7 linked regions of the Kluyveromyces lactis genome follow. The main gene of each other region encodes a partner of the protein of the gene in region 3 in a complex. Links are inferred from orthologs where the notes say so. Each region holds a gene or a part of one and is shown on either strand. Other genes may lie near its edges. The genes, in order: POM34, NUP120, NUP159, NIC96, NDC1, NUP133 and NUP1.

What was found.
Region 1: NUP159 (region 3) and POM34 share a complex: the UniProt entries of both Saccharomyces cerevisiae proteins name them as parts of the nuclear pore complex. The link is inferred for Kluyveromyces lactis from reciprocal best matches to the Saccharomyces cerevisiae genes NUP159 and POM34.
Region 2: NUP159 (region 3) and NUP120 share a complex: the UniProt entries of both Saccharomyces cerevisiae proteins name them as parts of the nuclear pore complex. The link is inferred for Kluyveromyces lactis from reciprocal best matches to the Saccharomyces cerevisiae genes NUP159 and NUP120.
Region 4: NUP159 (region 3) and NIC96 share a complex: the UniProt entries of both Saccharomyces cerevisiae proteins name them as parts of the nuclear pore complex. The link is inferred for Kluyveromyces lactis from reciprocal best matches to the Saccharomyces cerevisiae genes NUP159 and NIC96.
Region 5: NUP159 (region 3) and NDC1 share a complex: the UniProt entries of both Saccharomyces cerevisiae proteins name them as parts of the nuclear pore complex. The link is inferred for Kluyveromyces lactis from reciprocal best matches to the Saccharomyces cerevisiae genes NUP159 and NDC1.
Region 6: NUP159 (region 3) and NUP133 share a complex: the UniProt entries of both Saccharomyces cerevisiae proteins name them as parts of the nuclear pore complex. The link is inferred for Kluyveromyces lactis from reciprocal best matches to the Saccharomyces cerevisiae genes NUP159 and NUP133.
Region 7: NUP159 (region 3) and NUP1 share a complex: the UniProt entries of both Saccharomyces cerevisiae proteins name them as parts of the nuclear pore complex. The link is inferred for Kluyveromyces lactis from reciprocal best matches to the Saccharomyces cerevisiae genes NUP159 and NUP1.

What each region holds. Positions count from the first base shown.
Region 1 is NC_006042.1:1,442,013-1,445,860, reverse strand, and holds POM34 (Pom34p), read right to left. Parts: upstream 2,307-3,848; coding exon 1,119-2,306; downstream 1-1,118. Other genes in the region: MEU1 (S-methyl-5-thioadenosine phosphorylase), read left to right, coding at 1-973; PSR1 (phosphatase), read left to right, coding at 3,057-3,848. UniProt on the Saccharomyces cerevisiae protein: Functions as a component of the nuclear pore complex (NPC).
Region 2 is NC_006039.1:1,080,166-1,085,256, reverse strand, and holds NUP120 (Nup120p), read right to left. Parts: upstream 3,270-5,091; coding exon 240-3,269; downstream 1-239. Other genes in the region: TAP42 (Tap42p), read left to right, coding at 1-213; FAR8 (Far8p), read right to left, coding at 3,654-5,091. UniProt on the Saccharomyces cerevisiae protein: Functions as a component of the nuclear pore complex (NPC).
Region 3 is NC_006042.1:327,730-330,687, reverse strand, and holds the end of NUP159 (FG-nucleoporin NUP159), read left to right. Parts: coding exon 1-1,858; downstream 1,859-2,958. Other genes in the region: HIS5 (histidinol-phosphate transaminase), read right to left, coding at 1,927-2,958. UniProt on the Saccharomyces cerevisiae protein: Functions as a component of the nuclear pore complex (NPC).
Region 4 is NC_006041.1:1,253,677-1,258,766, forward strand, and holds NIC96 (linker nucleoporin NIC96), read right to left. Parts: upstream 3,120-5,090; coding exon 537-3,119; downstream 1-536. Other genes in the region: type 1 protein phosphatase-activating protein YPI1, read left to right, coding at 1-289; PDH1 (putative 2-methylcitrate dehydratase), read right to left, coding at 3,628-5,090. UniProt on the Saccharomyces cerevisiae protein: Functions as a component of the nuclear pore complex (NPC).
Region 5 is NC_006038.1:138,581-142,962, forward strand, and holds NDC1 (Ndc1p), read right to left. Parts: upstream 2,925-4,382; coding exon 1,104-2,924; downstream 1-1,103. Other genes in the region: bifunctional K:H/Na:H antiporter NHX1, read left to right, coding at 1-435; recombinase RAD52, read left to right, coding at 3,833-4,382. UniProt on the Saccharomyces cerevisiae protein: Functions as a component of the nuclear pore complex (NPC) and the spindle pole body (SPB), probably by playing a key role in de novo assembly and insertion of both structures in the nuclear envelope.
Region 6 is NC_006037.1:702,770-707,743, forward strand, and holds the start of NUP133 (Nup133p), read right to left. Parts: upstream 3,085-4,974; coding exon 1-3,084. Other genes in the region: rRNA-binding ribosome biosynthesis protein RPF2, read left to right, coding at 3,520-4,554; MTD1 (methylenetetrahydrofolate dehydrogenase (NAD(+))), read right to left, coding at 4,692-4,974. UniProt on the Saccharomyces cerevisiae protein: Functions as a component of the nuclear pore complex (NPC).
Region 7 is NC_006039.1:1,147,993-1,153,017, reverse strand, and holds NUP1 (FG-nucleoporin NUP1), read right to left. Parts: upstream 3,308-5,025; coding exon 584-3,307; downstream 1-583. Other genes in the region: KLLA0_C13497g (uncharacterized protein), read right to left, coding at 1-101; alpha-1,2-mannosyltransferase KTR1, read left to right, coding at 4,653-5,025. UniProt on the Saccharomyces cerevisiae protein: Functions as a component of the nuclear pore complex (NPC).

The sequences.
Region 1 (3,848 bases), about 1.1 Mb from region 3:
CAGCTTTAAAATGACGAATTCTACGCAGTTACCTCAGACTTTTGATGGGACTATTGATCTAGGAATCATTGGCGGTACTGGTTTGTACACTTTGGATTGTTTGGAACCAATTGCCATTCTTCCGTGTATGGAAACACCTTGGGGTAAGACTTCTTCTCCAATCACGGTGTCTCGTGTAAAATCAGATGAAACTGAGCATTTCCATGTGGCCTTTATTGCTAGACACGGTGTGAATCATGAGTACCCACCAACAAGGGTTCCATTCAGAGCTAACATTGCTGCCTTGAAGAACTTGAAAACCAGTGCTATTTTGTCCTTCAGTGCTGTCGGTTCTTTACAACAGGAAATTAAACCAAGAGACTTCGTGTTGCCTCAACAAATCATCGATAGAACCAAGGGGATCAGAGAGTCCTCTTACTTCAACGATGAAGGCCTAGTTGGGCATGTTGTGTTCGGTGAACCATTCTCCAAGTCATTTGCTGAGTATATTTATCAATTCAAAGATATTCTGGAAAACCCAGAGTCTGAAGAACCTTGCCTGTTGCACTACAATAGAGAACTAACCGTTGTCTGTATGGAAGGTCCCCAATTTTCGACCAGGGCTGAATCTAAGATGTACCGTCTGATGGGTGGAGATGTCATCAACATGAGTGTGATCCCTGAAGCGAAATTGGCTCGTGAATGTGAAATTCTATACCAGATGGTTTGTATGTCTACCGATTATGATGCATGGAGAGACGAAGAAGAACCAGTGTCTGTACAAACTGTTATCCGTAATTTACAGAACAATGCCAAAAATGCTAACCATTTGGCATCCCGGGTCATTTTAGAAATGGCAAAGCAACTTCCTGAATTTATGAACAACGGTGATGGTCTAAAGGATGCCATGAAGTACTCCATTTCAACAAAACCTGAAGCCATGTCTCAAGATGCCTTGGCCAAGCTAAAGTTTCTATTCCCAAACCATTGGTAACGCTGTAAATTTCTCTTCTATAAACTTTATAAACTATACGCGGTAGGTAGCCATGTAAGTAATAACATTCTTATCATAACTGCTATCAGAGGTTCGAAACCAAAAGAAGAAGAAAAAGAATCGTTCTCCGAAGTACGCATGCTTTTCAGCGCTTCTTCATCGCACTTGGTGAGTCCATCATATAAGTATACCGGTTGCTTGGAATATATCCGGGACGAGTGTCTGGCTGTGAGCGTGTCGATGTGAATAAAGTTGTAGGAGTATTGGAGACATTTGTTATGTGATCGACACCAAAGGCGTTTACTTTCTTCGGTTGTAAAGAGAAAGATACATGATTTTTTTTCACTTCTGCTTGCTGAAGGGTATTCAACTCACGCATTTTCATTGGAGTCTGTAAAGATTTGAATATGAAAGGCTTGTGGCTGGATTTTGATTCTGCTTCATTTAAGGATTTCACTTTAGAGTTACCTATATTAATTGAAGGATCAAAGGATCTACCATAGTCGGGGGTGCTTTCCACAACCCCTAACAAGCGTTTTTGATTCTCGGTTAGATGCAAATCTGATATGTCCGTATTTTGTGCTTTTATCAGCAAGTTCCAAAGACACGATGCAATGTTAAAAATGACAATAGTATGGAATATACTGGTTGCAAATTGCCAAGAAAGCATTTGGAACCAAAATGAATTGATGTTGGCATGTGGGTTAATCTTATAAACAACGTTTTTCAATACGAAAAGATACAGTTCGTCTCGAAGTTGGGATCCCCTTTTAGTGAATTGGAAGAATAATGACACGAATTTGTATATGAGATTCCAAATCATTGCCAACACTACATTAGTCAACAACCTTCTCATCTCCAACTCTTTATTAACCATACGAGATGTGAAAGCAGCCAACGCCGGGTTTTCGAAATCAGTCAATTTATCATATGCGGAATCTTCGGAAAAGTTCAAATCCGTTTGTTGTTTCTGTCCCACCGGTTCGTCCGGTAGCAGATCAGAATTTGTCACTGGTGCGGTATCTTGCTGTGTAGAATATGCCTGGTTACTTTTTCCTCGAAAAACAGGGGATGCGGTATGTGTATTAGTTGATGCTGAAGGTTTCGCGTCAAATCTGCCAGAGAACGCAGATGCAGCAAACACAGAGGAAGAATCTGACTTGGAAACATCAGTCTTGCTGGTAGGATCACTCAATACCTTGTGTTTATACAATGCAGGCGACTGTTTGATAGCTTTTTCCCTTAAGGATTGAAATTGCTGCTGGCTCAAAGGCCTATTGGGAGTCTGAAAAGTCTTGGCCGGTGTGCCAGGCGCAGAAATTCCATTATCCATTGCTACTCTCACCTTTTTCCTTTATATATCTTGATCCCTGTATTTACGGGGTAAACTCTCGATCAATTACCACAGTAAAAACACCACTAATATCAGGATATGAAACTTACCGTATCCAGGTAAAAACTGAACGATTCTTATTTATTAACATTGAAGAACTAGCTGTGTTTTTAGTAGTTAAACTAAGAAGTGAATCTTCAAGCCGGCCTCTATCTCTTTCAAGTGAAAAACATCTCGTTACCCGCACCATCTTGTGCCAGGGAAAAGAAAAAATTCTTTTTGCTTCGTTTGGTTCGTTCTTTAAGTTTTGATGTTCTGTTCAGCATGGAAAAACCAGAAACAGTCAACTTTTGCAGATTAAACAATTTTGAGAATAGAACATTGGTCATTGACTAACTCTCTTATTTTAACTGCAACTTAATTTTTTTTGGAGGCCATTTACAGAAGGGCAGTAAAGTCTTGAAAAGTACCGGGATTTGTCAGTGTACGGGTACTATATCAAGGGGCCAGTGGTTTCAGGGAGCCTGATTGGTTTGTGTATTTAGGTTTTTTTTGTTTGCTATCTTTCTTTGCTTAGATAGAAAGAAAGAACATATATTAATAACAGTATCAATCCGTTTGAAAAACCAATCTGATTAATATCGGTTATCCATTTTTTTTGGGCTCAGTGTGTGATTTTTGGTTTCTCTCACTCGCTCAGTGTCTCGATTTATTTATAGGTCGCTGTTGATTTTGTTAGGAATAAAAGTGATGGGATTCATTGCATCTTTATTGTGTGGTTCAAGCGATTCGGATAGCTCTAGGAAACAGAAGGGTAGGAATTCATCGTCAAGTAACAATAGTAATAAAGGTTCTAGTGGGTCAAGCTCGGAGAAAAGTAAGAGCAAGAATACGCTAAGTGCAAAGAAGAGTGGACGTCCAGGGGTTGCTGCGACTCATTCAAGACAATCAGAAATTCATACTACGTTATCCAATTCTACAGCCAAGATGCATCTGAAAAAGAAAAATGCGGCGAACAAGCATAGCTCAACTGTAGCGGCTGTTGCAAGTGCGCCTGTTGAGAAGAGTCCGCTGTCGAAGAATACGGCTGCTGTTAGTAATAACGATACTGATAGTGATGTCGTTGACGTTGACATGGTTGGAGAGGAAGATGACGATGTGGATGTAAAAGGGGATGAAAAGCAAACACTGTTGGTATATAACGCTGAATCTGATACAAGTACTGGCACAACTGCAGACACCGCAGTGTCTGCAACTCAGCCAACTGCAGAGGTCACGACCACGATTCACGAGACTGAACATACCAGTAGTGCGGATGACTCCGAGGGCATTCATAGTCAAGGCGTTAGCGATGTAGAAATGACAAATGGGGAGCCCGAAGATGGGGAACCTTTGGATTTGTCTCAATTGCAGCCAGATCAGGCCCATGCACCGGGGTGCAATACCTTGTTGTTGCCGAAGGCCGATATGTTTAAGGGTAAGAAATGTCTAGTCTTAGACCTGGATGAAACGTTGGTCCATTCCTCTTTCAAATATCTACGT
Region 2 (5,091 bases), on a different chromosome or scaffold from region 3:
GGTCAATATGGACCGACAATGACGGTGGAAGAATTTTTGGCAAAAGAATTTGAAGAGAACAGGGTCCTTCAAGGTGGGGCAGAACCCGTAGAAGAAGAACCTGATGAGGATGACTTTGAATCCAATGATCTTGCTACATATAAAGCAAGAGCATGGGATGACTTCACCGAATCCAATCCTAAAGGAAGCGGAAATACAATGAATAGAGGTTAAACAAAGCTTTCAATATATATGTTTATCTACTTTGAACACTTATTCATTTTGTCATTCAATTCATGTAAATGAATAATTTGTCCTGGATAGCTGATGAACCATTGGTCCTTAGCATCTGAAAATGTCTTTAAGACATTGGATATTAGAAGTAGGCACTTTTCTTTAACCTCGTCGTTCGATCCGAAGAGTACATAGTCATATAGTTCCTCGCACGCTTTCCTTTCATGTTGATTTAGTATTCTGAAAGAGAACAACTTTTTATAGCTGTTCCAATCAGTGAGAGAAACTTGTGATGATAAAATTGAAGCTATAATTTTATAATCACTCACACATAATAGTATGGATCCGTTGGAAATGTTTGCATTGTAGCATTCTTGGAGTAAAGTTGCAGTGAACATTTCACTGTACTTTTGATCACTCAGCAGTGTATAATAGTATTTTTCTCTTAGGCTTATATCAAGGACTTTTTGTTCCAACCTCAATACATCCAGGACTTCTTTATAATCGCCAAATACTATCAATGTATCTAAGTATTGTATCAACTGATCTGCTCTTGTACCATCAAGTGATATAGATTTTTTGATGGTTTTTAAAGCATTAGCATACGATGAAGCTTTGGAACATAGAACTGAAAGTTCATAATAGTATGCTGGTTTATCTTTTGTATTGATCGCATGAAGGAGATTGTACCAAACGTGATTTTCAGTAACCTCCAGATATTTAGGTAGTGAGAGCTCATCAGAGAAGTCATTTGCCAAGAATATTTCAATAGATGCATCATATTCATTGCATTTGAACAAAGAAAGAGCATATAGTAGTTCTTCTACTGGATCCTTGGACACATGGTAAGGCTTAGCAACAAAGTGTAGGAATTGCTTTGCACAAGTCAAATCTTCGCCGTTCAATATGAAATCGGAAAAGGCTCTTGTAAATATTGGAGGTTCAGCTGTTGGAGAATTCTTGACAAAACCAACCATTAATGTAGTAAAGTCGGTTATATCGCTGTAAGATTTCAATTGTGCACCATAATTGTATTTAGTAACATGACCGAAGGTCTCAGAAATTGCCAATAATTTATCTATTTGATACACTTGGAGCCACAATGAGATATTGAAGTGCAAGGTAATTAACTTAGACAACTTCTCTGCAAAAACTTCATAGTTGATATCCACAATAGTGAATACTAACAATATATCAATGATAAACTTATCCATAATGGAGAGTGTCTGCTTCAAGGATTCCATAGACAAAACAGATAAGAAAATGTCAGTATCTAATAAATCAATAACTGAAAAAGCACCTACTTTCAAATCACAGTGTATAAATTCGGATAAAACCTCCACCACATCAATAGAATTTAGATTTTCCAACAATTTTGATAAATTAGCACTTTGGAAACCATTTGTTAGACAATCTTGAAAGACAATGGTAATTTTATTTTTCAATGATAACGAGGGATTTATTGAACCATTTACCATGTCTAAGAACTTCTCAGATATCTTATTTAACGTTTCAGATGTAATGGTTGTTGAAAAACCATGCAGGATATTTAAGAAAAGCTCTAGTTGAGACGAGGGTTCCTTTCTCTCAAAAATGTTAAAGAAAATTGTTTCAAGTTGTGAGTCTAACTTATACGTGGAATGATGATACATGTGTAAGCTGTTAACAACAATTATCTCATCATCAAGAATAGTTAGAGTTGAAGGCTCCTGATATTGTTTATGAAGTTCTTTCAAAAGAGCTTCTAGATTATTCAAATAATCTTGATTATGAGGATCATTTATCTGCACCATGACATTATTTTTATTCAGTATCTTTTGTGCGTCATCGTACGTTGATTGTGAGTAGTGTGACTTGAGATTGAGGAGAGCCTTTTCCATATTTCCGTTTGTTATTAGGTCTGAGTCATCAAGCAAATCAGAGAGGTATGTGCTGTTACCATCAATCCATTTGTAGCTACTATACAGAGAGTCTTCGAAGGAGAGTAGTTGTAGCTTGGTCACTGTGTTACTTTTCCATAATAAAACCAAGTTGAGTCCCGATTGTTTGACAATTGAGGATTTTACTAATTGAATGTCAATTAAAGACCATATTGAATAAGATGAAAGATTGAGAGGTATATTAACGTTTAATGGTTTGAAGGAGATTCTTGAAGAATGCGTATTTTCTAATTGAATGACTTGGAACGATCCATTACCTGCAGGTAGGTATACAAACAGGAGAGATCCACAAATTATCATGTATTTTCCGGCAGCTCCATAATTCACCTGCTGGTTTTTCTCTTTTAGATCGAAATGCGCATTTAGTTGATATGTGGTTAAATCCCAGATTTTAATGGTTGCATCATTCGTTAATGTGACAAGATACTTGTCATTCAAAAGTTCTGCAGATACCACTGCAGAGTTGTGGTTATCGTACTTTGAAAACATTCTTGTAAAACTTTGAAAGTATGAACTATCATTGAATAGGACAGGTTGCAATTCAAAATCGTTTAATATTTCGAGCGGAATACGTTTTAACCCCAAAAGACCACCATCTTTTAGAAATACTACACTGAAGGTGTTATCAACATGAAATAGACACTGTGGAGGACGTACTGAGAAATCATACGGGTTTAAAACCTTCAACCAATTCTCAGGATACTCATTTTGACGAGTTCTCGATAGAATAAAATCGATAGGCAATGAAAGGTTGATGAAAATTCCATCCTTTAAAATCACATCAAAACATAGGTTGGAGGTCGTTTCACTAGATTCGTATACGACTGCAGTAAACCATTTGTTCAGAAGAGGTTTTGGAAAGTGGATATATATGGTTTTCCTTGCAAAAGTTTCCTTCATGGAGTAAATACTCAAAACAGTGTAATTATTACACCATTGGAAGGACAACGATTCATCAATTAATTTTAGTTGCAACAGTTTGCTGTACTCTACGGAAGTTATTTCTTCTGTAGATGATCCAACATTCCCATTGACGTATAAATGTTGGGCATTGTCTGATGAGTGCTTCGATTTTAATTGTAGTAAATTTGTATTCAGACGAGAAAAGCTGGTCATTTTTCGCAGTTTCAGCTTTACCTCTCAGCTGTTCAATAGTAATGTTGTAGGTTTATGTTCCGATTTAGCCTGTAATTGAAGTTCTCTGGTGGCTGTTCTCTTCTGTTTACCGATTCCACTTCATGTCAGATTGATTTCAACATGTCTTTTCTCATTGTTGTTGTAACCATGAAAACAATATTATCCGGGTAACTTATAACTGAATTTTAAGGTCGCTTGGGCAATAATTTCCATGTTGTGAGGAGGATTATATAGGTACTCTGGGGATACCATGTCTATAGACGATGACGTTCGTCTTGTACTGTTTTACATGAGCATTATAGATTATTTTCCTATATTTCTCTTTGAATTATAGCGGCAGCTTTGATTACTATAGCATTGCGTTCATAAGCTCATAATTTTTTCTAGTCGTATCACACCGTTATAGCCACCAGAAACGATTACAGGGGTATCATCTATGACTGTGGATGCAATGGCAATTGGTTGCACTTCAGCGGGAACCTTCTCAGGGTGTTCATAATGATTGTATTTTCTAATTACTTTACCATCTTCTTTGATTGACTTCACGAGTATTGAACCATCCTTCAAAGCGGTGACAGTGTACTCCAAATCATTGAGGAAAATCGAGGAAATAGCAGATTCTGCGGTAGAAGACACTAAAATGGTCTTCTTCTGATCGAAAGAGTAAATCAGAGTTTCTGTATCGAATCTCACAAGCAATTTTGATGTCGACCTGTTCAATGCTAATTCATTATTTGTGTGATGGAATTGGGTCAGCGAATGAGAAAGATCGATTTGTTGTAAAAGGGAGCCTTGAAAGTCGAAGATAGAAATCTTTACGTTTTGTTTTGAACTACCATTTAATATTATAAGCGATTTTTCCGTTAATCCCAACAAACAATTGAGAATCTTATTGGGGACTGAAATGACGAATTCATTAACCTTAACGATACTGGAGTCATCGATTTTAATTTCCCAGACCCGTATCTCGTTAACGAAAGTCAAAATTAGCCATTTATTTTTGAAATCTACAGATTGTAAGCCTTCTAAATCCTTGAGGCCATCCCAAGATATGACAGGGTCGCTCTGGCTTACGTTCCACAACTTGACGGAAGTTTCATCCACAGTCATAAACCTTGTTTTATTCAACCAAAAAATACCCAAGAGGTTAGGCACACAGTGAAACGCCTTGGTTGCCTTTTCATTAGAGTTCAAACTAGGTTCAATGAGCCAGTGCTTTAGTAAACCATCTGAGCCAAAAGATAGCATGTTGTTTCCGAGAAGCTTCAATTTGCTAATTGAAGATAAATGATACTGTAAGAAACGATAAGTATGGAATTTGAGCATCTCATTGGATTGTGTTGAGAACAAGGACGATGATCTTGATCGCCTTGTGTTTATTACAGTTTCGGCATCAGAAACGTCATCTCCTGGGGGTGAATTTATGACATCTTTCCAATCCCTGTTTAGAGTGATATTTGGGACATCACTGCTGGTACTATTGGCCTCTTTATCATTGATGATAAGATCCCCGTCGTCAACTTGCGAATTACTTATTTTATGTTCGTTTTTAACTTCGGTTCTATTATCAGTACCATTCTTGAGAATGCTAGAGTTGTTGACATTAAACAAATTCAAGGATTCTAATTTTTTCACCGAATCATCTTTATCATTCAATGATTCCAACTGATCTGTTACTGGCGGGCTTTTCAAAAGGTACACTATTTCTTTAATGTTTTCTTGCACCGATAGTTTTGAATGTAACAGTTCTTCCTCTTGCTCCCATGATTCTAGCGGCAAGGATTTTCCGGTCTCATCGTTT
Region 3 (2,958 bases):
TATACACATCGAAGCCTCTTCAAAACCTTCTTCAACTGTTTTGAACTCAAACAGTGACATAGAAGAGGATGAAGCTGAGCAAAGCAACGAAGAACAAGCAAAAGTGGAGACCAAAGATGGGCAAGAAGAAGAAGAAGAAGAAGAAGAAGAAGAAGAAGAAGAAGAAGAAGAAGAAGAAGAAGAAGAAGAAGAAGAAGAAGAAGGAGAAGAAGAAGAAGAAAAGGAGGAGGGAGAGGAAGAGGAGAAGGAGCAGCAAGCGCAAGATGAAGAACAAGTGAAAGATGATACTAAAGATGTATCAAAGGAGAAAAAGCAAGAAGAAGACAAAGGAAATGATAAGCAGGTCAAAGGTGATCTGCTCACTGAAGGATCTTTCCCATCGGCGGAGAGCACAACCCCTGTTGCTGCGTCTTACGTTACTGAGGAAGATGACACCAGATCGTCTGTTGCTTCTTTTACCGATAGGATAAAGAAAGCGGCTAACCTCTCAACGGAGAATATTGCCAATCCATTCATGAAATCCACAGCAGTTGAAAACAAAGATTCCTCACCTTTTTCGGGCTTCACAAATTCCTTATCCAAAGATACAGGAAAGGCTCCCGCATTTTCCTTTGCCAATCTCAAGAAGGATGGTTCTGAAATTACCTCACCACTGTCTAATGTCAATTCTATTAGCAACGAAAGTGTTATGAGAGAGCCAGAACCAGAATTAAAACAGAAAACTGGTGATGAGCCGGACCCCGAAGTGGCAACTCCCTCTACTAACCTCGCAAGTTCAGAACAGAAAAAGGAAGCACTTTCAAAGGATCAAGAAATTGTACCATCTTCAACTGTCAGTCCAGAATCTGGTAGCGTCTCTTCTTCACCAGTTGTGGTAGATTATCCTCCAGTCAAAATGAGTAAATCATCCGGTACTACTACAAAAGAATATGTTTCACAGCATGTGCAAGCGAGTGTACCTGTAGGAAGCGCTTCCACTCAAAGTCTTACTAAAGAAAGTGCAGACTTTACTTTACAAGCCTTTGAAAATGATGAGCAATATATAGCTGAAAGGTATCTTCCTGAAATGCCTAGTGCTTTCTATTCCACTGCTGAACTTAAAGAATTCAGTACAATATCTTCCGATGAAGTTGTACAGGCCGTTGAAAAAACAAATGCTCAAGTTTTAGCAAACATTCAAGTGTTACGCTCAAATATCGACAACATTGGGAAGTTTATAGGTGACCATTCCCAAAATTTATTCAAACGTACTGAGAAAACTGTCCCAATTGTCTCCTCCTGGAGACTTGGTGAGGCGGCCACTCTTTTGGATATCCTTACTTCCAAGGCTAAACAAAGCTACGAATTGAAACAGTCTTACCAAAGGTTAGCAGATAGTTCTTCTGCGGTAACTAATTTCGACATGCTAATCACGACACTAAAACGCCAATATGACATTCTTGAACTCTCCAACAGGACATCTAATCATTCCAACAGGAAACTTTCTTGGAGTCAGCATCATATCTCAACTATGGTAAAGAGGAAACTTGAAGAAGTCTCCTCGAAACTGGATGAAATTAGAGAATCCATTCAAGTACTAAAGCTTTACAATCTTACAAATACCAAGGAAGCACTGCATGCTGTGCAGCAATTGTCATTAAACGGAGGCATTGGCAGAGAAAACTTGTTAACAGAGATTCAGTCGTTAAGAGAAGAAATTTCTGTGTTAAAATTGTCGGCAGAAAAACCAAACCAACTAGAACCTGAGAATCTATTAATTAACACAGCTTCTACATCGTTGCCCCTTCTCGAAACTACTTTGGAGTTATATACAAGGGCTCAATTAGGAGATTTTTTCTCATCTAAACTGTCTACGTAATGTGTAGAACGAAATGGTCCAGTTGAATACGCTAAATAATTGCTTGCATCCACCTTTTCAAACCTTAATTAAGCCATTATTAAAGCAAGATGTTTCCTGAACTCTTTAATTAGAACATCATTTTCTTGCTTAGTACCAATGGTGATTCTTAAACCACCTGCGCAGCCAGGCTCATTACCTCTATATCTTGTTATAACAGCTGATTCAACGGCAAGCCTTTCATATAGCTTCTTAGTCAAAGCGTTGTCTCCATTGTTGATGTTTAATAAGATGAAATTAGCGTCTAGGCCACCCAATTGGGAAACATATGGAGAAGAAGTCAACTCCTTCAACACTCTCAATTTTTCCTTTTTAACTGTGGCAGCATTCTCTTCCATCAATTTCAAGTTTTTTGGTTGTACTGCTTTCAAAGCAACTTCTGCAGTCGAGCAAGAAATATTATAAGGAGCCTTCATCGAATTCAAGACTCTTGACATAGCTTTAGATGTATACGTAACTCCTAGTCTGATTCCAGCTAGGCCAAATGACTTAGAAAGAGTTTGTAAAACAGCAATATTTTCGTACTTTGTTGCTAGCGGTGCCAAGGACCCCTTATCAGAACCCTCAACAAAATCGATGTATGCTTCATCTACAACAACAAGACCCGTTTGCCATTGTGATAGAATCTTTTCAATACGATTAACATCGATAAAGGTACCAGTTGGATTACCTGGTGAAGTAATGAACACCAACTTGATTGAGGGATCGTTTTGCAAAGTTTCTAAGATCTTTTCCTCATCGATTTGGAATTTGTCTTCTTCAGATAACAATAATGGTACCGTAACGTATTCAACATCGTTAACCTGAGAACAGATGGTATACATTCCATACGTAGCAGGTGCAATTAAGATTTTTTCCTTTGCTGGCACACAGCACGCTCTAATAAGGGCATCGATGCTTTCATCAGATCCAACTCCAAGACATAGGTTGTCAGCATCCAAAGGCTTCAAGTTCTGGTCTTTGAAAATAGAGGTTTTGTTACGGTAATCAGAAAGGAGTTTCTTAAACTCCAATTGATGCGGATCTGGGTAACGATGCAACAGAGAGTCAACATTGTATTC
Region 4 (5,090 bases), on a different chromosome or scaffold from region 3:
GAAAACTAAGATTTGTTGCATTTTCCATCCTAATACCCCATTAGAGAGTGATGAAGAAGAGGAAGGAGAGTGCGAGCACGATCATAATCATGGACATGATTCATCGTCTTCATCATCTTCGTCTTCTTCAGACGAGGATGAGGGAAAAAGCTTTGACGAAAGAAGAAAGGCAAGACTCGAAAGGCGGAGAAAAAAGCTTGAGCAAAAACGTCCACCAAGTCCGAATGCATACGAAGTCCAGCCAGATTACAGCGCTTATAGAGATAAGAACAGAAAAGACGCTCAATGATTTAGGAATTTGATCAGCATACTCTTTCACTTCTTGTACATTTCGTTGCATCTTCTACTCACTACAACAATGCACTGCTGAAAAGGTAATTGGCAGTTCAAATGTATATATATACATATGCATATATAATCTATCAGGCAATTATATCGAATAACAATCGACTTACACATGGTTATTTTATTGTATGCTATTATGGTAGGACGTCTGGGTTCTGACATAACTCAGGTGCTCATAAATGAGAGCTCTGCTACAAACCAACTTCTATATTGATTAATATGCTGTAAGTTTCTCTTGGCATTTTGTATTGAATCATACCAGCATAAATCATACAATTTTTAGCAACACGTTTGAGAGAATCGATTTGCTGCTTTTTAGTCAAAGATTGGTAATCACTTTCGTTCAACTGCTTTATGATGTTAGAAATGCATAGCATTGTAATTATCAACAGGTTAGGTATGTTCTTTAATATATTCTCATCCAAATGTGTAAATTCTTGTGCTCTTTTTCTGGTCGAGCTTTCATCCGTGAACGGAATTAAATCGAGATCTTCAATCTGTTGTAGGGTGTTTTGCCATTGGCGTGCTAGGAATGATGCTCTTATATCAGCTAGTTTCAACAAGACAATACATGTTTCTTTGTTTCTTGCCTGAACCTTTTTAGAGATTTCGATGTTGTTGATGTACACTTCGATTAACTTCTTTGCCATTAAGACGTAATTCGTTTCGCTGTTGTCATTCAACCTAAAGAGGGATTGATTGAGGTCAGTGCTACTTAGAAGTTCTCCCAATAACTTGTTGATAATGGACATAACAATGTCATATTCTTCTGATAACTGGTACAACAACAAACTATCATGAATTCTTCTTTCTTCATCAGCCCTACGAGCAGCCTGTTCGGTAATCTTATACAAAAAGTCCTTCTGGTCCTCAAGCTGTAATAATGGGCGTCTTTCTTCAACTACACCGGGGATCCTAATTCCTTCAGAGTTGATCTTTCCGAGAAGTATGGTGAACTCTTTAGTTTCCAAGATCAATTCCCTGAGTGCCTCATACGCCCATTCAATCTGCTCTTTCTCATTCACTAGTGCGATGAGAATTAGATATTCGACAGCTATTCTTGGATCAGAGTACTTGAACGACTTTGTGTAATTTCCTAATACCTTAACAAAGTTTATCCTTGTTTGGCCATCATTCACGGAGATCAACTCATCCTTTTTATAAGATGACACATGTAACATGCCATTTGCCGCTAGACCAATTGCCAAGTGAACAGCATCGATTTCATTTATTTTGTATGAGTACTGTACTGCTAGTTCATATTGTCCGCTTAACAAAAGGGCCTGTAGATAATAGTTTTTAAACATGTACTCACCGTAAGAGACAACAGTATGTTGGAAATCGCTGAGGGTATACCTTTCATATACTGGATCATCCATATCCATATCATCTTTGATTAACATCAAGTGAATCCATAACCAATCTTCCACGCTTAGAGTAATAGAAGAGATATTCTTCCTTGTCAAATCACATCTGCCAATAATTTTGTAGACCGCCAAACGGAACGGATCGCTGTCCAAAGTGTTTTTGATATGCTGGTTATATTCTGTATGCAACCTTGAGACAAATTCCTGTGGAAGACGATGATCAGGAGACGTTACATAAGCTTTGAAGTATGTTAGGAAAGATTGCTCCACTTTTTTGAAACTCAATTTGTTGTTAACAACTACTTCTAGCGCGTCCTGCGGTAAACCAGCCCTTAGCAAATAAAAAATCAAGGCCCATACGGGAATTCCATTCACAATCGTAAGATTGTTAAATTTCCAAGTATTTTCACCAGTCTTCAGTTTGAGGTCAATAAATGCTCTAATTTTGTTAACATTGGTCGGTAAACCTTCGCTTGGATTCTTTGAATACAAATTGTCAACATAGCTCAAGAACTGGTTTTCTAGGTATTTTTTGGAAAACTCAACAATATTTGGGGATTGATTTGTTGCATTATCTATAATCTCCCAACCGTCAAGTAGCTGTCTATACTTCGAGTCGGTCGTATTCTGAAAGATGGCAATGAACTCTTTGGTTAATTGAAAATCGTCATTATGTGATTGTCTTGAATTGTTAAACCTGTAAATAATTTTGGCATATTTCTCAAACTTTTCTCTAAGGATGTGATTTCCATTGACATTTGAATTTAAATCACCATCCAAGATACCACTACCAGGTGGTTTCCCCCAAAATATTGGACCGTTGGGATCCAAAGGAGCCAAATTAGTCGTATCGTAGTTAGAACTATCCTGACGTTTCTTGACTAGGATCCCAAAGCTTTCTCTTACTTCATCTTTCCTTTGCTTCCAATCTAGGTTGAAGTTCTGATTAATGAAATTATCAAAATCCTTCGCTGCTAAAGACAATGATTGTTCAATGGAGGAAAGGATATTCTCATCCTTCTTAATATGTAAATAAGTGTCCAAATCACCATCGTTATAGCCTTGTGCAACCCGTTGTTCGGTTAACAACTCTGATGACTTAAGATTCTTCAAGGAACTCTCAATTTCGTGAAATTCAAGTCCACTTCCTGCTAAGAGATAATGAGCTTTTGTATGATTGGAATCGTGAGGAATTGTCTTACGCATCTCCTGTGCCCTCTTTTTCATCTCATTGACACTCAATAAGATAGCTCCAAGGTCAGATGAAGTAGAAGGTAAGTTCTTTGACGTTTCTAAAAGCTCATTGAATAATTTCGATGAGCTCTTAGACGTGGAGCCACTAGTCTTTGCATCGTTTTGAAATGCAGATAGCATTGTATCACTGCTGATTTGACTGTTGATATTCATAGTTCCACGATTGTGTGGATTTTACAATTCCAAAATCTGAACGGGTTAAAGATAATTTGATGCGATGGATAGCAACAATGTGTATTGATTTTCAAAGTATCTTCAATGAATTATTTCCATCATCTATTCAACGTATTGATAGTTTACATTTTCTTTTATTGTTTTCTGTCTAATTTTTTTTAACTACAATGTTTTGCACCGTTACCCGAACATGTGACGGGACAAAAAAATGGACAGCCAGAAATTGATCATGACAGTAATTAATATTAAAACATAAGTATGTATGTATTAACTCAAGAGAAAATAAGTTAATTATATATTGTAATCTGGAATTGATGATTGCCAGAATCTTTTGATTCCTGTGGTCAGTTTTTGTAGAATAGAAAATGTTGTTTTGGTTACCATTGAAATGTAGGTTTTACTTCGTTTAGTTCAAAAAAAGAGTTGAATGAAATGAAAAATTGATTGTGGTCGTTATACGTTGATGATGCTGTGCGAAGGACAAAGCTTAATCGCAGTACATGTTGACATATTCATCAACAGTTAAGTTTAAGAAACCGTCATCTGTACTTGCTTCCATTAAAGCTTCCACCTTTTCAATATCGCCGGCGAAATGTTCACGCAAATGGTGGTAGAATTTCTGCATCAATAGTGGGACACCTTCCTTTCTTCTTAGTCTGTGACCGATTGGATATTCTACGACCACTTCATCTAAGACAGTCCCATCATTCAATTCTACTAACAAAGCGTTTGGGATTGATCTCTTTGATGGATCATGATAATCCAAAGTGAATTGGTCATCTTTAGTACAATACATCTTAGCTCTCAATTCGTCAATTTCAGGGTTGCTTGCTACTTCATCACTGTAATCGTCAGCCGTTAGTCTACCGTAAATTAATGGAATAGCAGTCATGTATTGAATACAATGATCTCTGTCAGCATAATTGTACAATGGACCCTCCTTGTCAATAATTCTCACAGCGGCTTCTTGAGTTCTAATTCTGACCTTTTTAATGTCTTTGTAAGTTTTGCCCAACTCTGCCAACTGTTTATTCACCTTAATAGCTGCTTCCACTGCCGTTTGAGCATGGAATTCTGCTGGGAACGATATCTTGAAAAGAACGTTTTCCATCACATAAGAACCGAAAGTGTCCCTTTGCTGGAAGGTGAATGGTTTACCTTTGAAAAGAACGTCATAAAAACCCCATGTCTTAGCGGTTAGTACGGAAGGAATTGTACCTGGACTTCCATTCTTCACCAAATATGCAATGTTGACAGCTCTTGCCACTGCGTCACCGGCAGCCCAAGATTTCCTGGAACCAGTATTTGGAGCATGCCTATAAGTTCTTAAAGCTTGTCCATCTACAAAAGCATGAGATAAAGCTTCTGTGGTCTGAGCTTCTGATAGACCCAACATCTTGGAAACCACAGCAGTGGTAGCAACTTTGACCAAAACAACGTGGTCCAATCCTACCTTATTAAAGGAATTCTCCAAGGCAATAATACCTTGAATCTCATGTGCTTTGATCATAGCTTCTAACACATCTTTCACGGTGAATAATCTTCCCTCATCACCTCCGGTGGCCTTTGACAATCTAGTTAAATGATCTGCCACGGCAAGAATACCACCTAAATTATCAGAGGGATGTCCCCACTCTGCAGCTAACCAACAATCATTGAAATCCAACCAACGAATTAAAGTTCCGATAGCAAACGCACCTTTCACAGGGTCCATTCTATATTTAGTACCCAACACTTTGGTACCGTTAGGTACAATCGTGCCAGGCACAATTGGCTTGATAAGGTTTTTAGGTTGATCATATTTCAAAGCAGCCAAACCACAACCTAATGTGTCCAATAAACAGAGCCTTGCAGTTTCATAGGCTTCTGGAGAAGTGATACCTTTATTGTGAACATAAGAAGAAATTTTTCTTAATACTTCATCTGCTTCTGGTCTCTTATTATCGATGT
Region 5 (4,382 bases), on a different chromosome or scaffold from region 3:
TTCGGTGGGACTACAGCTAGTATGCTAGAGATTCTCAACATTAAGACCGGCTGTGTAGATGAGAATGATATTAGTGACGATGAATTTGACATTGAAGCACCCCGTCCAATCTCTTTAGCTAATAGCAGTTTGAACTTGTCGACAGACTTCAGATCTGATTTCCCACCGTTGGCTACAAGCGTCAATGCCGCTGCAGGTATAATATCGCCCGAAGACACTCCAAGTCAACAATTAAATGGCCCGAGGTTCTCATTTGATGGTGCTCAAATAAGAAGCTCCGTTGACAAAATTTTCCAGCAGGATCAATGGTTTGCAAACTTTGATGAGCAGGTCCTAAAACCAGTATTTTTGGACAATAATTCCGCAATACCTTCTCAAACAAATACTAAATCATCAAACTCCCCAAATGACATGTCAGTTCGACGGACGTTGTGATTCATTTCTAACATTTTACAACTGCATAATATGTTGACTTTATGTGTATATACTTTTATGAACAAAAAACTGGCAAGCACTAAATAGATCATGCATTGTAAGGCACTTAGTCGAATTCTTCGTATTGTAGTACATCTCATTATCATTTGTTGTTATCCCAGTACAACACTTCTTGAGCAGATACTACAGACGTTGCTATTAAATTTATAAGACTTACGGTTGGCGAGAAACGTTAATTGTGCACGAAAAGCTAGTGCGGATCGATGAATTGATAAACCGATGGAAAAAGTCTTTTTAAATACGTAATGACCTTTTTGTAAAAATGAAGATAACGTTTGTATGCTTTGGTTTGTATTTTATTCATACGTAATGCTAAAATAAGTTTGTTATAACAAAAGTTCTGCTGTAACTCAAATACTAACCTCAATGGTCATTATGATCTAGTGAAGGTTAATGGAAAATAAAAACATTTCATGAATAATTCCGACTTCTGGAATAAGAAGCAAGTATTCTCCGCTCGCTTGTTCAGTACATGTAACATCTTCCTATAACATACCAGAAGTTTGGGGTAGATTTCTTCTCTTTTATAATGAAAGCAATATAACTTTTGAATATTATTAGAGTAACATGCTTCTGTTGGGAATAATCCAATTGATGCCAAGCTATGTTTAAATATCTTGTGACATTTTTTGCAACCACTGTGTTAACTTCACGACATCTTCGTCCAAATAAACATCGTTAAGGAGAGTGTCATACTTCAAAACTATTTCCAAAAATGCATTGATACATAAGTCATACAACACACTTATGACATCATTCAAATCCTTTTCTTGTTTTCCATCCAATATTAATTCAGTAAACGAACCTAAAGAGCCAATAGATCTTTCCAAAATTTTTAATACTTCGCCGACTGAAGATACGACAGCTCCTTTGGGATCTTCATCCACAGAATTTACTATAAAACCCATCATCGAATACACACACTCGGCATAGCATACTGGCACAGGACACAACTTCTCAGCTTCCCTTACTTTTGATATATGGTAAAGTTCAAACAATGAGAGCTTCTTGTTCGTGTTATCAGTTGAATCGATGGTGAAAAAGTACTGACTGATTCTTCTCTGTATCCAATTCCAAAGATCAGTCAAAACAGAAAGTACTGTAGGTTGTCTGGTAAAAATTGCTTGTTTGTATGAGTCGATAAATCTCGGAGGATTCGGACTTCTTTGGGTATCGTTGTTTTTGAAAACATTGCTGTCCTCTAAAACGATTCTATGTGAAGCCATTGATGGTAGATCCGAATTTATTTGTTCAGTAGGAGGAGCACCAGGTAATCTGGAATCCTCATCATTATTTTGTTTTCTGACAGTATGGTTGGTACCGAATAAATGATCTACCGATCTATTGATAGGGAAAGATGGTTTTGTAGGCTGGGGATCAATCTCTTTCTTCAATGTAAGCAAGAAATCGGATACGTTATAGTTGGTTTCTTGAATAACAATCATACATTCTCTAAGTATACCGGGCCAGATCAAGCTATTTCTATAGGTATTGTGGTAAATTGGGAGCCTCAACTCCACATTTGCACAAGTGGCTCTGTAGGCCAGCTCTTGGAATGCAGTAAGTTTAACAAATAATTTTTCTGATCTCAACCCAGTGATCAATGTCTCCATTGAAGCTGGAGATAACGAAGAGATTGGTTTACCTTTATGCAAGCAACCAATTGATAGAAAGGCGTCGAAGCCAATGTTTGTAAAGTCCCATGTTTGCAAGATTAACAAGCATATACAACAAATCCTAATATGGGACCATATACCAGAGCCTAGATGTCCGAATAAAAGCTTTAATAGAATTGGAGTAATTAGAAAGAGTATTGCAGTTAACACAAGACACTTCAAAAATGAATCATGGATTCTTGAAGCCATAAACTTCTGAGGATGTTGATGTTGAGCACCGTAGTTGAAAGTAAGTCTGTCAAGATCTAAAAGTACATGTTGGATGGAATACAAAAAAGGTACCATAAACTGACAACAAAATTCGTAATGCTGTGAATGCTTTCTTGAACCAGTACCTGGAGTGAAAAAGCAACAGGAAAATGTCAAAGAAAGGAAGAATGCGCTCACAACGTAAACTAAAAGGTACGTGATCCATTTACGGGAGACTAATTGGCCATATGATGCGCTTATCCAGCTCGTATATCCAAGGTAATTGACATGAAGATAGTTTTTCCTGGTAATAATTAGCATCAACATTGCAACATAGAAAGATAATATTTTTACTGGCCATAACAGTAATTTCTGAGATTTCGACAACTCCCATTGTGTCGTAATGGTTGTAATTAAACCGACAAGTACCGCTGTTTTGAAGAGTAAACCCCTGGCGAAATTATTAAACCTGCTCTTGCATACCCCACTGAATATCCGATGGTAAGTAAAACGAGAATCACGCAGTTGCGGTGCAACCGGTCCTAAACTCTGCACGTAAGACATCAATGAAAACAAACCAATCAAAGATGAACACAGGTAAAAGTACAGCCTGTATAGCAATAAGCTGAGTAATTTTAGATGCTTAAAACAGACAAAGGTCAATTGGACTTTAGGACAATCAATTACCTTCCGAGTTACTTATATTATTTATTTGTATATCATCTCAAGCATTTTAAGTTCTTAACAGGTTGTGATCTAGAGATCAGGCGTCATAAAAAAATTAGATATTCGGGTAACCCTCTTATGCCAATGTCATAGTTGATTTGCATGGTAACTCGAAACTAAAGACAATCACCTCCTTGTCAGTGAGGTCAGTCTCAACATATAGACGCTAAACGCGAACCTGATGATATCGTAAACAGTTGTTACATGTAAATAAGTAAATCAACTAAATATGTGTCATATTCTCTTTCTCTTTCTTGTAACAATGGTCTCGTGTCAACTTTAACGCTTAAAAGTTGATATTCTTGTCCAAAAGATATATACAAATATATACAAGGTCACTCATAGAGTACTGAAAATATTAGAATGATTTGCGTCGCCACTTTCATGACCAATGTAAGTACTTCTATGACAGCACAGGTACTGCCAATCCTATAATGATAATGTTAAGTTTCATTGCCATCCTTTCAAAACTCCTTTCAATTTACATGGCTCTCGCGTCTTTTAATACCGATAGAAACAGATCTTTTTCAAGTTTACGTGATTTAAGCTACTGCTCTGTTTACTTTTTTCAAATTTACTGTATTGATAAACTAAAACTTAAACAAACTAGGTCAAACAGTTAACGATTTTGCGCTGTTGAATTGGACAGGATACCACCTTGCTTGTGTCTTTAACTGGTAGAAGATTTTGTGGATTGGTATATTAGTGCGACTCGCATCAATTTTCCTTTTTGCAGTTTGTTAGATATGGAGGATACAGGAAGTGGCAAGAATGGTAAAGATGACATTCAAACGAAGTTAGATAAGAAGCTAGGACCAGAATATATTTCAAAGAGAGTAGGATTTGGATCCAGTAGAGTAGCATATATCGAAGGCTGGAAAGCAATCAATCTAGCAAACCAGATTTTTGGGTATGACGGATGGTCTACGGAGGTTAAAAATGTCACTATAGATTTCCTTGACGAAAGGCAAGGTCGATTTAGTATTGGATGCACCGCTATTGTTCGTGTTTCGTTAGCCGATGGAACGTTCAGAGAGGATATTGGGTATGGAACCGTGGAAAATGAACGGAGGAAAGCCAGCGCTTTCGAGCGTGCCAAGAAATCTGCAGTGACAGATGCGTTGAAAAGATCGTTAAGAGGGTTCGGAAACGCTCTTGGGAATTGTCTTTATGATAAGGATTTCTTGGCTAAGATTGATAAAGTGAAGTTTGATCCCCCAGATTTTGACGAGGGAAACCTTTTCAGACCTGCAGATGAATTAAGTGAGATGTCAAGATCAAATATGGTTGGAGATG
Region 6 (4,974 bases), on a different chromosome or scaffold from region 3:
GTCGATGATTGGAAGTTCGATACTTTGATGGTAGAACTGCTGCTTGAAAAAGACCCTTAAAGTTTGTCTAACCGCATTTTCATCGGATAAGAGACACCTTCTCCAGATCTGGTACTCGCAGTACTTTTTTACTTCAGTGGGTAACGTGTGATCAATGGCAAGGATACTCAATGCAAATCCATAAGAAGTATCTTGATTTAATAGTGTGAATAATTCTATCATATGCGGCACTGAGAGAGATTCTCTCCTCTTCACAGCATCGCTCAAATATTTGAACAAAGTTCGATAGGTGGTAAAGTCTTTGAATAGTGGGTTGAGAGTTGATTCTTGTAGTTCTTGGGATAGAAGAATTTGCCCATCGATGAGATCTAATTCGGTTTGAATTTCGTTTAGCTTTTCAAGATCTTGAACTTCCGCGGCAAGAGCTGTTAATTTGGCAATACTCAATTGTGCCTGTCTTTGTTTCAAATCTTGACCCAGCGATTGAGTTCCAGTAGAAATACTCAACAAAGTTGTAGTTGCTTCGTCGTATTTATGGCAATATATGTTTCCAATCCATTTAACTTTGCCATACTCGGGACATTCTCCTAAGAACTGGTCCAAATATTCTGAATGGGTTTCACCAAACGATTCGTAAAGATCATCCCATAGCCCTTCCTTGATATAGTAGGAAAATAAGGATTTTGCAAAGTCGTATCCGTATTTCTGGAAGAATTCATCGTATAGAGAGAATGCGGTAATTTTTGGCAGAGATTGCAAAGTTTCAACTAAGCCTTCAAAGTCTTGGTAAAAATCTGTGATTAGAATTGAATCCTGAGACCTGTTAACATCCCTAAGGACCCTATTCCAAAGTAAATGATTTTCTTCGAAAAACTGTTTATAACTAGAATCAGTAATGGCATTTGCATCAATCCACATGGTTATTTGCCTGACCATATAAAATAGAGACTTAACCAATAGCAGTAATTCCTCTACAAATTCTGACACAACGGCAAGATCTTCAGAGGCATGCCTTAACAAGAAGAAGATGTCATTAAGATTTTCTATTATGCTATTTGTTGTGAACCAAGGGATATTTTTTGATACATCATCTGGGCTCATCTGGAAAAGTCCATACCTGTAGCTGTTTTCACATTCTTCTAATATGGAATGATAAACTAGTTGATTTATAAGCTTTGCGATCTGAGATTTTAACATAGTTTCATTTGTGGATTTCATTAGGTCTTTCAAATGCTTCAAAAAGGCGCCCAATAATTCTGGAATCTTAACAATGCCGTCTGAGATAAAATCAGAATCCGATTGATAGGAACTTTCTGATAGTACTGTCTTCCAAGCTTGTGAAATAGATGTTGGTTGTTGCGGTAGTAAAGAGTACAAGCTTTCCAAACATTTTATCATTTCAAAATCAGAAATCAAGTCCAGTTTGAATTGGGAAGATGTTTGATCCAAAAAATTATGAGCAACAAATGTGAGAAGTCTTTCAAAAAGTTCGCTTCTTATTTTTAAGTGTTTCATGGGGTTGTTAGCAACAGGCGGTATGTGGTTTGATAATGCATATTTAATCTCATCACTGGACATTTGAATATCTGTTTCAATTTCTTGTGGTTGTAGATCTAGATTGTCAGGTAAGTTGAAGTCTAGTAATGAATCCGTTGATTGTCCTCCAAAATAGACGTATTGATCCACATGAGACTTTATGAATCTAATTTCTTGGAAGTCAGAGTTTTCGTATTTTTCAAAAGTCTCCAACTTTAACGCACATGTTCTTCCATCAGTAATGTATAAGGAACTTGAATTACAATCGTACCCAAGAACTTTCATATCTTTGTTAAACCGTATAATGTCCTCCCATTTCCTTTTAAATGGATAATTAGAGTCCAATTTGGAACTTGTTTGAGTTAGGACAGCAGCATCAGAGAATAAAGTGTAAACAGACGTTATCGGTAAATGTTCCTTGGTGTATGCAGTTGGGACTATAAGTCTTGGGGCAAATTCATCTGATAATGGTCGCGTGTATGTGTTTAATCTGTAAGTAGAGAAGATAGCGAAACTGTTAGTATCTTCATCCACAATGATGGTTGATAGTAAATAGTGCGTTTCGTTACTTTCCGCTAAGAAACTCAAGAACAAGTATGCATCCGAGTCTCCTGATAAAGGATGACAATCGAGTAGTTTCAGTGTAGATGTTGCCAAGGGGAAATGCTCTAAGACTGCCTGTGAAATTTCAGACTGTACATTTAAATCGATCTTTTTGTAACAATTCCCAACAGATGAAAGGTTCCACACCTGATATCGCCCGCCCTGGGTTAAAATAGAAACTATTCTTTCTCCTTTACCGCTGATTTCGCCCAATTTGAGAGATACCACTCTCTTTGATTTGGACATGGATGAAAAGATTCCGACTTGACATTTTATTATGGTTTGTTTTAGCGATACAAAAGGTTTCCCGTTAGCATCTCTTATAGTACAAAACTCAACACGCCCGTAATTTGTCGAAAGTAATATTCCAGCTGGTTCTGCATTAATCAAATTCTCTACATATTCACCGTCACGTAGTTTTAAAACTGATTTATGACGTTTGGTTTGCGTCAAGAAACTTGCCACTTGACTCACAGTATCAACATCTTCATAGAATTGAATGTCACCGGATCTACTGTTCACTAAAAATAAGCCAGGGCTTGATTTCAAGTCACGTTCGAGCACACTAGGCCACGTAAAGCAACATAATGGAGGACGGGACCATGATTCATATTCCTCGTCATGTAATGGAATCCTTACAAAACTAGGGTGTGTTTCAGAAGATAAAAATGGCCAAACGTAAACATTATCAGTATCGCAGCATAAGGCGTACCCAGATTTTGCATCAACGCTACAACATAATTCCACATTACTGGGCAAAAAACTTAAACTTGGCGCTAACTTCGATACCTTATACTTCCCATTCTCTGTGATAACTTGTTCATTCGAAAATTGTACATTGGTGACAGCAGAACCAGTTGTCGTTTCCTCAGCAGAGATTACTGAATCCTCTGGTGCTGCTGCTGGTACACTAAGCTCTTTCCTGAGCTGAAACAATTGCTTCATCTTGTACTATCTTGACACTGAAAAAAAAAGCCAAAAGAATCACCAAATGTAAAACTTTGAAATTCTAATCTCAATTGATCCACTACCTTGTTAGCCGAACCTAGCTTGACCTTGCATTGCTGTAATTATAAAGGTAAATAGACTCTCTGATGCTCATTGTTTAAAATCTTGGTCAATGTTTCTGTTTTCATTGTCGCCAAAGAAATCGTCATAAGTGATGTCACGTGAAACATTTTCCGCCACGTGACTTTGGAATAGTTTCTTTTCACTTATCAAGTAACTTGGAAAATTAAATCTTTAAACTGGAACAAATCGATGCGATGAGCTAAATGCGATGAGCTAAGTTACAGTCTACATAGTTCATCTTTTGGCTCAGATTTCTATCCTATAAGGTGTAATTGTTGTGATTTGTATCAAGACACCGTAAACACCAGGATGATCAGAACAGTAAAGCCTAAGAATGCCCGTGCTAAAAGGGCTTTGGATAAAAAAGAAGCAAAATTGGTTGAGAATGTAAAGCAAGCTTTATTCATTCCTGGTCAAACTTCTACCAAGTTGTTGCATGATTCAATGGTTGATTTGAGTGCGTTGAAGAAGCCTGATATCAAGAGATTCTCCAAGAAGAACAACATCAGACCTTTTGAAGATTATGAACCATTAGAGTTTTTATCTGAAAAGAATGATACATCGCTTATGGTGTTGAGCACACATTCTAAGAAGAGAAGAAACAATTTGACTTTTATTCGTACGTTTGGGTATAAGATCTATGATATTATCGAGTTGCAGATTGCAGAAAACTATAAACTTTTGTCTGATTTCAGAAAACAAACTTTTAACGTTGGGTTAAAGCCAATGTTCAGTTTCCAAGGTGCAGCCTTTGAACAACATCCAGTTTACCAGCATATCAAATCATTGTTCCTTGACTTTTTCAGAGGTCAGAATACCACTTTGCAAGATGTTGCAGGTTTGCAACATATCATTTCTATCACTGTCCAAGGTGATTTCCAAGACGGTGAACCATTACCAAATGTTCTATTCAGAGTGTATCACTTGAAGACTTACAAGTCCGAACAAGGTGGTAAGAAGTTACCTAGAGTGGAATTGGAAGAGATTGGTCCAAGATTCGATTTCAAGATCGGAAGAATTCACACTCCATCTCCAGAAATGGTCAAGGAAGCCCATAAGAAACCTAGACAATTGGAAGTCAGAGTTGCTAAGAACGTTGAGATCGATACTATGGGTGATAAGATCGGTAGAGTGCATGTGGGTAAGCAAGATTTGGGTCAATTGCAAACTAGAAAGATGAAGGGTTTGAAGGCTAAATACGATCAAGTGGATTCGGATATGGAAGAGTACCTAGAAGAAGTTGAAGGCGATCTTGATCAAGAAAATGTCGATGACACTTACGGTGAAGAATTCGTAACGGCAACAGATATCGATGCTCCACCTGCTAAGAAGCAAAAGAAATAAATTCCATTGACAATAAAAACTGACTGTATAATATAATTCATATACATATCTAATCATATACATACACATTCGCATATATATGAGATAAAGGTGAAATAGAGTATAATTCTTTTTTTTTTTTTGATCGATCCACTGCCTTAATTCGTGGAGGCTGAACGGTTTTGCAATTTTTGTTTGTTCTCTACTAATCTGAGCATGTTTCTCAACAGCATGGAGATGGTTACTTTACCGGTGCTTGGAACGTATAGCGATGCTTTTGATTTCACAGACTCATCGAAATTCTTCTCTGAGGAAAAATTGATACAGATAGCGCCTTCTTTAATGTAATCAGTAGGGAACTTGTATTTTTCACCAGGAACACCTGTTATTATCACGTCAGCATCTTTACAGCATTCCTTCAATAGCTCCTCTGAATATGCA
Region 7 (5,025 bases), on a different chromosome or scaffold from region 3:
TGTAAGTGGGTAAGGCGTGGCAGTATTTGTTCTGAAATGTCCATGGTTATGGAGTTTTTTACTTTACTGGAAGATATTAATTTAGTGATTGACACTTTCATGTTACATATTTAAAGAATGCGCTTTTGTTGATTTTCACAACATTACGGTATTATGAAGTTGACTAGGCGAAACGAATATTCACGTGACTCATAATTCAATTGAATTCCTGCAAAGCTGTCATGAACTGCGCTACGCATAGCAGTTTCAATGTAACTAAATTTGATCAATACTTTCCAGAAATGCCTATGTTTCAAGTAATAGCCGGTTCAATTTGGATACCACAAGCGAAATCACTCAATTTCTTGCTATTGAGTATGTTAGACTTGATTTATAAGTTGATGTAGTTCCACTTAAAGATTTTACGAGCATCTCATCCGTTAACGAAGCTCCATTCGAGTACTCTCTCGAAACAAAATTTTTTACCTAAACTTTAAGATGACATTAGTAGATACATTCTTACACATAAATGTAAAGATGTCGGAAGGAATGATATCATGCAATAATTGTTACAATTGAGATGCAAAGCCTTTGTTTTCCTTTATTAGCCTCTTCTTCTTCTCCTACCGGGCATAGCAATTTTGCGCTGCGGTGGAAATGGTGCCCCTCCTTGAGGAGTTGAAGCCTGCGCATTGAATATGTCCGCTGGATTCTGCTGACCAGCGGAAAATATGGACGATGGATTCTGTTGCGGGGTTTGGGATCCAAATACTACAGAAGGACTTTGAGATGGTTGACCACCAAAATTAAAATTGGCAGCGGCTGAAGGATTAAATGTGTTTGTCTGCATAGAATTACCGAAACCGGTACCCAATGCTGGTACCTGGGGAGTGGAAGAAGCTGAGCTTCCGCCGAATGAAAAAGGTACATTAGGCTGATTGGAACTGGTTCCAAATGCAGGTGAACTGTTGGTAGTGCTTGGCCCACTTCCAGTAAAAGTAAATGGTTTTTGATTTTGTTGTGCAAAAGTAAATGTAGTTTGAGTAGGCTGCGTTACACTTATCTTATTCCCAGGTTGAACGACATTATCAAATGAGAATGGGACAGGAGGGTTGCTTCCACGAGCAGATCCAACATTTGATGAATCTGAAAACGGAGTCGGAGTAGTTTGTCTATTATTATTTTTAAACCCTGTCAAATCAAATTTGAGTCCGCTGACAGGCTGGCCACTGGTGTTCTGACTTGCAAACGAAGGAATTGCATTGGAAGCTTTTTCAATTGAGGGCTGCTGGATGGCAGAGGAACTTCCAAAAGAGAATGCAGGTTTCGAACTCATATCACCTTGAACAGGTTTCTTTGTGGTCCCGAACGAAAATGATGGTGCAGCAGCTTCTTTTGGGGTTGTATCAGAAGGTAGGGCTGCTGGGGTGCTACCAAAGGAGAATGCAGGTTTTACAGCAGTACTGACGGCATTTTTGGCTTCCTGCTTCTCTGTCGCGTTGTCTGCTGAAGGCTGTTGGTTGAGAGAAAATGCTGATGTATTCGAAGCTTGCCCAAAACTGAAAGGTTTAGCTTTTTCCTTCTCAATATTTTTTGACGAATCATTTCCTACAGGTTTACCACCAAAGCTGAATGATGGCAGCACTGGTGCTTCAGTTTTTGTACCATCTGGTCTCTTTGCGGCAGGTTCAGTACTACCACTGGAACCAAACTGAAATAGTGGTTTAGGTGTATTAGTTGATTGAGAGGTACTCAATGGGGTCAGATCTGGAGTAGATGATTTTCCTTTGTTGAAGCTAAACATAGGTTTTGACATTTCACTGACATTAGTTGGTTCGCCTGCATCTTTTTGGCTGCCAAAACTGAATGAAGGGGCGGGTTTAGCTATCTCTTTGCCTTCTGAAGATTTTCCAAAACTAAATGTAGGTATATTTGATATCCCAGTTGTATCCGCACCAGTGAAGCTGAACTTAGGGAGGCCGTCTTTAGCCAGATTTTCAACAGGTTCGGGGGCGGATTTCTCAAAGGGGTTTTTGGATGTTTCAGCTTTTTTGGTCTCTTTCTTGGTTTTTGATAAATCACCAAAGGTGAAAGAAGGAGCACCATCTGAGATTTTTGTGCCTCCATTGGCTGTAGCTGTGTTGTTTTTTTTTACCGCATCAAAAGAAAAAGCAGGTTTCGATGGTTCAGTTGATGTTTCCAGCGACTTAGAACTTGTGAAGGGAAATGGTTTAACAGTGTCCTCAGTAGAACTAAATTCTTTCTTTTTTCTTGGTAACTCTTCAGAATCCTGAGAAGGGGCCGTTAATTTCTGTTTATCATTGTTGAATAAATCCAATTTGGTATTTCCAAAAGATATATTTTTGGATACTGTTGGTTTGGTAGGTGTATCTGTGCTACCTGGGAAAATAGAAGTACTGTCTCTATTCATAAAGTCAAATCCAACACTTGGGCCGTTAGCGTTTAAAACTTTATCTTCTGATATTTTTTCCTTGACGATAGGTTTCAATGATAGTGTTGGTGCAACTACTTCTTGTGCTATCTTTGGATTTTTTTGCAATGTCTTTCCTTGTAATAACCTGCTTTGAACATCAGTTAAGCCAGATCCACTAGGCACTCCTGTTTGATCAAAAGTATTGACATGTTTCTTTGAAGAGGTACTCCTTTTTAGCAATGGATGTGGTAGTTTAGGAGATTCCAAATTCCCCATTGAGGCAGATACTGGTTTCGTCTTTTTGTCGTTTTTCAAGATATCATATTCTGATAAATCGTATTGAAAATCAGCTTTCCACTTCTTGGACTTTGGGTTATCGGAAACCCTATGATTTTTCTTGTCACTTTGTAGTTTGTTGACGAGTAAATTCTTTATAGTAGCATTTTTGCCGTCTGTTAAGCGATATAGGCCGTTCTCTGCTGATTGTAATTGTCTTTGTAAAAGTGGGAATTGCCGAGCACGGCGCAGTTGCTGCATCCTTAGTAGCCGCAATCTTTGTTTCGGTTCTATCGTTAGTACTGGAGGCCTTACACCATGTTCAGAATCCCCTTCATACAAGAAAATATTCGGTCTTTCATCATAATTGATATCATCAATGCCATTGTGATTTAACGGGTGATCGGTGATTTTTTCGTTATTCCAAACCAATTCCTCGTAACCGTCGAAGCCACGTTTTTGCCTCTTGATGACCACTGATCCTGAATCACTGATATCTTCATTGTGCGACCTTGTTATATTCGGATCTTCGCTATTCGTATCGTCATGCTTGGTAAATAATGATGCCAAAGTCGATGAAATCGATCTTTTGGGTTTTTCCAGATATGATGCCGACATTATTCTATAAAGTGGCCGTGATATGCGGCAAGTGAACCAGAGTCCAATTCAAGTTTTCGATTCCTATTTCTTTCGAAACTGCTGTTTCTGTAACTTTCTTGCGTATTAATAAAGGTATTATTCGATATTTGATAATTCGATATTTCAAGTCCTAACATTCCTAGCTGTTATTTTTTTCCTCTTACAGGGTTATAATCACTTTGTACGGTTTGACACATATTGACCTAAACTAACCAAGGCGTCAGTATAAGAGAGTCTAGCTAGGAGATGGACATAAATTTGCATTAGTTCCAAAACATCAATATGGGGCTCGACTATTATCCAAAATTTATTATAACGATTCTACATTATGAAAGTTTAAAGATTTGCCGTCCACTTAATACAAAAGTACCCTTTTTCGTTATTTTAGCTTTCAAGTTTTATATAGAACTCAAGTTTTGTTCATTTTTCTATACATAAGGCCTGAAAGTGACATGAGGGATCGAAAAGAACAAATTGATATATAAGTAAAGAAAAACTTAACGTTAAACTGCAAGAACGCACAGGATAGAACGTAGTGTGCATCAATGCCATGCTTAACAGTACAAGTGTTCTATTCTTGTGAAATTCAGATTATCACGTGACCGATTTCTCCCCATCCTGTCATACATTCGTCCCATCTTGTTTTTTTTTTTTTAGTTTGGGGAAACCTTGAAGAACGCGTCATGGAGGAAATCAAGTAAAAAGTGCAACACCGAATGTGGTTATGAGGCTTCGACACCACAGAACAGACCGCTTGATTCCGAAACGAAGAGGCCATATCGGTCAAGGAAAATCCCAAAAAACACCTTGAAGGGACAGAAGACTGAAACGAACACATAAGTCTAAATCCGAAAAGAAAAGAATCATTACACTAGAAGAAAATGGGCAGTGGAACATCGCACGATGCCTTCGACTACGAGTCATGAAGTGGGAGATCGATAAATGTCATAAATGTCATAAATGTGCTATTTTTATGGCTGAGCTCTGCTAATGGTATCATATAGTTTTTTTTTTTTTTTTGTAGTTTTCAATATTCCCTGATCGAATCTGGGTTGCCTCGAGAAAAATGTGATATTAGAATAGCGTATATCCACTGTTCAATTGAAGAAAACTGAAAAATTACAAACGAAGGCATTTTACCTTTAACAACTCGGTATCGTTTTTTGTTTCCTTAGGTGCTTTACTAAGTTATTTGATCGTTTGACGTGAATATCCTGAAACCACATTGGTCGTTGTTGATTTCTTCTTAACAAATCCGCTATTTTTCTTTATTTCAATTGGAAATAGGTTGGGAGAAAGCTGTTCAGTAATCTTTCAATAAGCCATGAGCGAGACCAGAATCAATAAGGAGCGTTCTGCGCGTCTCCTTGGGATAATTATCGTTGCTGCAATTACCATCTATTTGTTGTTCCAAGGTGCTTCATACAATGGTGGATACAGCACTGGTGTGTCATCTTCGCAGAATGCAAATCAGTACGAGACCGTTCGCATGAAGGGTGATTCCCGTGTTGTTGTAGACCCAAACACAGGGTTGAAGTACACCACCGTCGATTCCGGTAAGTACACTGGCTCCAAGGTTAAGGCAACTTTTGTGACTTTGGCACGTAACGGTGATTTGACAGAATTATTGTCATCTATTAGGTCTGTTGAAGATAGATTCAACAAGAAGTTCCAATACGATTGGGTGTTTTTGAACG